Linked DNA regions of Danio rerio. The protein of the gene in region 2 purifies or fractionates together with the protein of the main gene of each other region. This does not show direct contact. Links are inferred from orthologs where the notes say so. Each region holds a gene or a part of one and is shown on either strand. Other genes may lie near its edges. The genes, in order: nploc4 and faf2.

The links.
Region 1: the proteins of faf2 (region 2) and nploc4 purify together in Homo sapiens (affinity purification with mass spectrometry; 3 studies listed by BioGRID and IntAct, with this or other methods). This does not show direct contact. The link is inferred for Danio rerio from reciprocal best matches to the Homo sapiens genes FAF2 and NPLOC4.

The regions. Positions count from the first base shown.
Region 1 is NC_133187.1:37,899,689-37,904,162, forward strand, and holds the start of nploc4 (nuclear protein localization protein 4 homolog), read right to left. Parts: upstream 2,830-4,474; 5' UTR 2,671-2,829; coding exon 2,656-2,670; intron 1,516-2,655; coding exon 1,435-1,515; intron 1-1,434. UniProt on the Homo sapiens protein: The ternary complex containing UFD1, VCP and NPLOC4 binds ubiquitinated proteins and is necessary for the export of misfolded proteins from the ER to the cytoplasm, where they are degraded by the proteasome.
Region 2 is NC_133189.1:56,130,695-56,134,524, reverse strand, and holds part of faf2 (FAS-associated factor 2), read left to right. Parts: intron 1-1,235; coding exon 1,236-1,379; intron 1,380-3,830. UniProt on the Homo sapiens protein: Plays an important role in endoplasmic reticulum-associated degradation (ERAD) that mediates ubiquitin-dependent degradation of misfolded endoplasmic reticulum proteins.

The DNA.
Region 1 (4,474 bases), on a different chromosome or scaffold from region 2:
GTATCTGGATGGCTGCATTATTTTTACAGTAGAAACAGTAATGCTGTGAAATATTATTACAATTTAAAGGAAAAAAGTAAAAAAGTTCTAAAAAAATACCTTTTTAGGCTGTAATTTGCTGTTCTCCCTGTCATAAACATAGTCTTGTGTAAATTTTCATATATGTTGTTTGTTATTTACTTTATTATTTTTTTGTGATAGAATCTCAGTGTAACTAATCTATTATATATATATATATATATATATATATATATATATATATATATATATATATATATATATATTTGTATTATTATTATTTAAATGTTTCATTTATTTTTACACTTACTGTTAAACGTCTTTACACCCACTTTCATTTTTTATGCTTTAAACTTAAAAGATAGCAACAGAATCTAATATTCATGGGATTATAGTGTAATATCCTTTAGAAATTACTCCAATATGCCAATTTGTGTCATTTAATATCAATTATTTATCAATATACAGGGTGTTTCAAAATAATACCAGAACTTTTGGGTTGATGTGAACATCTATGAACTTGGTTTCTACTGGAAAAAAACTTAGTTAAGTACTCTTCACACATATTCATTGATTAATTAAGCAAGGCTCCATCATGTTTCCGTGATTAAATACATATTTTCAAAGTTGTGGTATTCTTTATTAATTACACTGTATTATGATTATGAATAATGTTAAACATGCTGAACTGATTAATAGCATCATTTAAAAGATGTGATTGATTTTTTATAAATATATACAGCTGAATTTAAAATTATTAGCCCCCCTTGAATTATTAGCCCGTTTATTTTTTCCCCTAACTTCTGTTTAACAGAGATAATTTTTTCAACACATTTCTAAACATAATAGTTTTAATAACTTATTTCTAATAACTGAAATATTTTATCTTTGCCATGATGACAGTAAATAATATTTTACTAGATGTTTTTCAACACACTTCTATACAGCTTAAAGTGGCATTTAAAGGCTTAACTAGGATAATTAGGTTAACTAGGCAGGTTAGGGTAATTAGGCAAGTTATTGTATAACGATGGTTTGTTCTGTAGACTATCGAAAAAAACATATAGCTTAAAGGGGGTAATAATTTTAACTTTACAATGGTTTTTAAAAATTAAAAACTGATTTTATTCTAGCCAAAATAAAACGCATAAGATTTCTCCAGAGGAAAAAATATTATTAGACATACTGTGAAAATGTCCTTGCTCTGTTAAACATCATTTAGGAAATATTTAAACAAGAAAAGAAAATTCAAAGGGGGGCTAATAATAATGATAATAATAATGAATAATGATATTTACACAGAGAGAGAAAGGGATCCTACAGTGTCTTTAGATGAGATAAGAGCTGTTATTTTAGTTCCATAAAAATTTGAAAAAAAAAAAAACAAAAAACAAAATAATAATTCCCTTCTTGTACCTTCTTGAGGAAAGCTGCAGCTGTCTCATGTTTAGTAGAGCTGATTTTTTTCATTCCATCTGGGGACTGAATACGGACGATCTGTCAGTGAATAAACAAGAGGAAGAGAAGTTTCTGGTTACTGCAACAGCTTGCTGTTCACTCCTATAACCACCAACACATCTAGTGCAGATTTACTGATGCATAACAAATTACTTTAAATGAAACACTATTAGAAGAATGTAATTTATGACATTATTGTCATAACTGAATGATAATTAGCACAAAACAATCCAAAATAAATAAAAAAAATAAAACAATAAGGTTAAGTTGGCTTTATATTCGCATATATATATATATTATTTTTGAACAGTCATAACTTGACATGATCTCGATATTGTTTATTATACTACTTTGAATATTGGGTGTCAAATGGCATTTATCTAAATATGACTTCAAAACAACATTAGCTCTATTTAATTGACTATGAACTATGTTGTACTTTGATAGTCATTGGCTGCTAATATGATTTACCATTTAGAATTTGCTGAGAATACTTTTCTGAAATTATGTGATTAAGGAGTCCAAATGTGCAAAAATAAAACCAACTTTAACTCAATAAAAAACAGGTGGTTGTAGGGCAAACCATTGACATCTGACACTCAATAAACAAGCACTAAAGTCTCCACATACCACACGACTAGCATCATATTGAATGCCTTATTATATTATACTCCCGATCTCAGTGCTTTCACCCTTCATACAAAACCAAAACAACAGATCAAGAGCTATTCACAACACTTTAATAAGTTTCTCAGTGTCAATTTAATTCCCTGATAAAAGACTACGAGAAGCTTTAAAGTGTCCTATTTCTTCCTATTTTGAAGATGTCAGCTGAGGCGTTTTGGAACTATTAACGTTAGATAAGATGAATTTGCACGTTCATACTTTAATAAGCAGTTGAGATGAACTTACACTGACACATCTTATCTACATCACCTTGTGCCAAGCCGAATAAAGTCAACTTCAGCAGAAATTACACCCCCTAGCAAAATAGCATACATCAAACGAGAGCAATACGTAGCTAACACACACAGAGGCGTTGTTATTAGAGTTTGAATCGTTTCTAGATGCTTCTGCTTGAGTCTGATCATTAGCATAATGCTAACAATTCTGCTGCCTCATCACTGGATGACAGACTTCAGTCAAACTGTCCACATTCACACGCAGACTGACACTTACTATGCTTTCTGCCATGTTGATGGGATGAACCTTCCCTCCTGGTGCCGCTGAAATGAGAGCTGGCTTATTTTAATTTCGCTGTTTATCTGATCTGCTCGGGTCTATGCAGCGATGCCAAACTCACAGAGCCGGTGCTACATCTATATGCGTCCGGGCTATGACGGGATCCTGATTAAAGCCACCGGCGAGAAACAAGACTAATGTTGTGTTCCTGCATATGGTCATTTGTTTTAAGAAACGGCGAGAGTGTATTTTTTAAAATAACGAATTACACCTCTTTTCTTGAGAAACAAAGAATGATAATCATTCAGTTTTAGTTGTATGTTAATGGAATTTGCATTTTGGATAAAATCTAGTTTTATTGGCAATACTACTTTTGAATAGATATGAATACAGGGAACAGTGTATTAGTAAGGACCACCATGTTCTATGGTAAGTGAAAGAAGAAAAGGACATAACTGGCTCTTACTGCAGATGAACGTGAGGATGAGATGGGTTTTAGTGACAATGAGAATGATGCAAACTGGACATTTGATAGAGACAGTTCAGGTAAGTTAGCCCAGAGGCAGATAGGACAAGCATAGTGTAGTATATAGTATAATTTATACATAATGTTAGATAGCTACATTATTCTGATGCATCTGGATATAATAGACTTGTTATTTATTTGTTATATTTACTGGAGAATACATTTATATGTACTGTATGTTGTGTACATAATATTGATTATGTATAATATTGATAAAACAATATGTGTTTTGTTTTTAATAATATTCAGCAAAAAAGAATGGAATAAATGAAAGCAGTTTTAATATGAGTTGTTGGAAAGTGTGTATAAGGTGTCATTCATAAGTTCTGTGTTAAAGCTTATAATACTGCAACACTAATTAAATAATTATTCATTCATTTTCTTGTTGGCTTAGTCCCTTTATTAATCCGGGGTCGCCACAGCGGAATGAACCGCCAACTTATCCAGCAAGTTTTTACGCAGCGGATGCCCTTCCAGCCGCAACCCATCTCTGGGAATCATGCACACACAGATTCACACACACACTCATACACTACAGACATTTTAGCCTACCCAATTCACCTGTACCGCATGTCTTTGGACTGTGGGGGAAACCGGAGCACCCGGAAGAAACCCACGCGAAGGCAGGGAGAACATTCAAACTCCACACAGAAACGCCAACTGAGCCGTGGTTTGAATCAGTGACACAGTGACCTTCTTGCTGTGAGGTGACTGCACCACTACCTACTGCGCCACTACCTCGCCATAAAATAATTTTAAACAACAAAACTATTAATTATAAGGAAAGTTTACAATTTTAAATTTCTACGTTAGATCCACTGTTGGACGTTGTTGATATGATATTGCAACATATCATAAAGTACCTTAAAAAATAAACTTTTTCCAATTTTGTTTTTTACAGCACTTCAAGTTAAGCCATTTTAAGGCAAGGCAAGCCAAACTTTATTTATAGAGCACAATTTAATACAACCGTAGTTGATCCAAAGTGCTTTACAATGAGATAAAATATTTAAGAAAATAAAATAAAATAAAACTTGTATTAAAAATGTAAGAAAAGGAAATAAATATGTATATATTTTATACTAAAATGCAGATAAGAAATACATGTATGAGTCACTCAAAGGCAAGGGAGTAAGTCTTTAAGTTAGATTTAAAAGTATCCAAGGATGTAGAAATCCTGATGTTCAACAGGAGACTGTTCCATAGCCTTGGGGCCGCAACACAGAAAGCTCGATCACCTTTTGATTTGCAACGAAACAGAGGGATCGACAAAAGAAACTGATCATGAGA
Region 2 (3,830 bases):
CAAAATACCTCTAGATCTTTAGGGGTTAAAGCTACACACATAATCATTCCCGGTGCTTTAAAATGTTTAAACATGCCTTAAAAACTCAAGCAATTGTTGAACATTCACTTTATTATGGTTCAACCAAAATGACTCCAATATTTCTTATCTCAACTGTTATTTAACTACCTCCTTAACTATAATCCTGACTCCACATTGCACGTCCTGCGATGTGACTATGGCAAATTTACACATTGCAATAATGATATAGTCATAAGTTGCTGATGTGACAATAAATAAACAAGTAAACAAACAAACAAATGCTTAATCAAAATGAAAGGATTCCAAAAACTCAGAGTGTTACTAATTACTTATTCTCATGACATCCCCTGAGTCTTTTGTTCGTATTCAGAACACATGATACAGATATTGTAGATGAGATCTGAGAGCTTCCTCATCCTCCATAGACAGCAAGGGTCTCAAGATGTTTAAAGTCCAGAAAAGGAACCAAAAGCATTGTCTAAATACTCCATGTGTCTTCAGTGGTATGAATCGTACGAATCTCTAAGAGCACGTTTAGCTTAGCTTAGCATAGATCATTGAATCAGATTAGACCGTTAGCATCTCACTCTTGTTTGACTCTTCTGTAGTCATATCATGTACTAAGATTGACAGGAAACTAAAGTTGCTATTTTCTAGGGAGATATAGCTAGGAGCTATACTTTCATTATATAGTAAAATAATAATAACAATAAACAGAAATTTGCTGTCGTACCACGGCTGCAGCAGTGCAATGACATTACAAAACGCCTGAAAATAGCTTTCAGCCACTGCATAATATCATTGCACAAAGCTTTAAATAGGAAAATTATTGAAACTCTTTGGTCATTTTTGAGAGAGATGCTAATGGTCTTATCCGATTCAATGATCTATGCTAAGCTAAGCTAAAAGTGCATATACTGAATGCATACAAAAATGGTAAAACTTACCTGTTTACCTCTAGAAGAGCTCTAAAATGAGTCCGTTTACAAAAAAAGTAAACAAGTCTTTAACACTTGTGTCTATGCACAAGTAATACAGTAGTCAACATTTAAAGTGGATCTAAAAAAGTCCACTAAGACAAGAATGGGTGTTGTTGAATAGGACGACTTTGATGAAAGGTTTTGACTCACCTGAAATGTTAACTACTAGCTGGTGGACAGATTTCTGACGTCTACATTAATCATGCTTAATGATTCCTAATGTGTGTGATATAGACTCTGGAGGAGGAGAAGGAGCGCAGGTCTGAGTGTCTCCCCGCCGAGCCACCCGTAGACGACCCAGACGGAGTTAAAATAGTGTTCAGACTACCCAACGACACTCGAGTGGAGCGGAGATTCCTCTTCGGCCAGTCTCTGACGGTAAACAGACTTTAAATCTGCTGCTTCATCTCATCACTCGTACACTGTTGAGTTCATAACACAACCATAGCAATGTCTGCGGTCCGAGATAAGAAACGGCCTCAGCAGACTCTCTGTTTCGCTGTTTTATACACAATAGCCCAGTCCTTTTTGTATTATATGCAGTGTTACATACCATATGTTTGTTTTGAGCATACAACCCAATATTTAGAGCATGTCATCAATCATTTGCTGTGTTTCCATCCACCTGTTTTTATGCACCTTTTGGGATATTGCATGAGAAAAAACCCTGGATGGAAATGCTAATATGTGCCTAAATTTTGAAAAGAGTTGGGTAAACTTTTTATCTGATAAAAAGATGCACATAATCTATGATGAAAACCCATTTACCGAATAAATTCCAGCATGTGCATCAAAAAAGTCATGTAAATTTGCTTCAACAGATCATGTGATAATAAAAATGGTGGAAAGTGACGGGTATGTTTGGGTAGACGATGATGTGTGAACATTTTTAAAAGTTAAATACGAGAGAGAGAAGTAATTATGGAATACATCAACAGGGAAGTGCGAGGGGCGATGATGCTGAAATGACTGCACACATGCATTTTCTCTACATATGCTAAAGGCTGATTGGTATTTAATTTTCAATTCAGCTTTATTTGTATAGCGCTTTTACAATGTAGATTGTGTCAAAGCAGCTTCACATAAATGGTCATAGTAACTGGAACAGTGTAGTTCAGTTTTTAGTGTTTAAGTTCAGCTCAGTTAAGTGTGGTTTGAAGTCATTATTAAGATGGTGACTCGCACCTCTCAAAAAGTGTAACCACATCGCAGCGACTAGGGATGGGTATCGTTAAGGTTTTAACAGTATTACTACTTTTATCGATGCCACTAATTGGTTCGGTACTTCAATGTTCTCTTAACTGTACTTTTTTAAATGTTTCTTTATGGAAAAAAACAACAAATTGAACAGAATTAACCACACTTTATTTTATTATTAAGTTTTTAATGTAAAATAAAACGAAACCAATAAGTGTAAAACAAATAAATATATATTTTTTTCTGTAAAAGAATGTACAATGTCGTGAAGGACGCTGACTTTCAGTTTTTAACCATTCTTCGTGATAAAAATCAACATGTTTGCCTTTTCTAGCAGAAGTCTGAAGATCTTTGTTGGTTTATTGTGCTCCCTGCAGTTGAACATATCCTCTCTAAGTTGCAAAATGCAGTTAAATGAGATAATGTAGATGATTTTTCATGAACACATTCACATTATGAGTTAACGGTGTTTTAATACAGTGTTGGAGCATCTTGCAATGTAAAAATAAGCATTTGTTTTATCAAGCATAGTTTATTATTAAGCTATTAATAGGCTATATTTGTAAATACAGTAATGTAAAAGCATTTCCAGGTTTCAACGCTAAGGATTTTTTATACTGGGCCAATTGGGCCAGTGGTTGAGGTTTTTACTTGCCCTGACAAAATTTTCACTGGCCCCACTAAAAAAAAAAAGGTATACAGCTATTTCTTATCCACGTATTTTAAATAATGGGGCAAAATAATGTCTATGAATCTAGAATTTAAACAGTTAAAAAATGTTAATAAATGTATAATGAACAGAATTAGTTGGATTTTATGCAAACGAAAGAGCAGTATGAAAAATGTGCTGGTATTTTAGTGCAATTCTAAATTATTTTTATAAAAATGGCTTGCCAAACCGACAAAACTGTTATTTATTTGTTTTTTTTCTCCAGTTTCTTAATTTTGTACCCATGTAATTGTCTGCTTCCAAGACTTTAGAAACTGACGTTTTCTTTTAGCCTCATTGTTAGATGTTGCCATCTTTTCGCTGTAATTGTTGTTACCATGTTACGAAAAAATTGCATGCTCACCGTTACTGGCCGATAGGGGCCAGTAACTATCCGGTCTACTGTCCCAAGCATCTTTCACGCTGGCCCCGGGCCACCGGGCAGTCCTTATTGTTGAGCCCTGATTTCTAATGTTTAGGATTTATTTAGGCTACTGCAGAAAAACACAGTTTTCATTGTAACTGAATGTGTTATAACTATCAGGGCCAGCGTGTGAGATGCTCGGGACAGCCCGATCGGGCCACTGATACCCTGTCATTAAAGTTTCATTTGGCTGTGAATATTTGTCAATTGCGTGCAAAAACAGTCAGAATCGAGTAGCAGTTTGTGTTTTTAAGCCTTCAAATGCTACCTTCTCGGTTCCTCTTGTCTGATTGGATGTTGTGACCAAGTTATTTTTTTCGGAACAACCAGTACAGCGAAGAGACGGCAACATGGCGGCAACATCAAGTGATGATACTTAAAGAAAACATTTGTTTCTAACGTCTTGGACGCAGACATTTATGAGGGTACACCACGACTAAAAAAATGAAGCAATGTTTTGTAGTTTGCCCTCAGTTTGACAGGTCAGCCATCTTTTGTT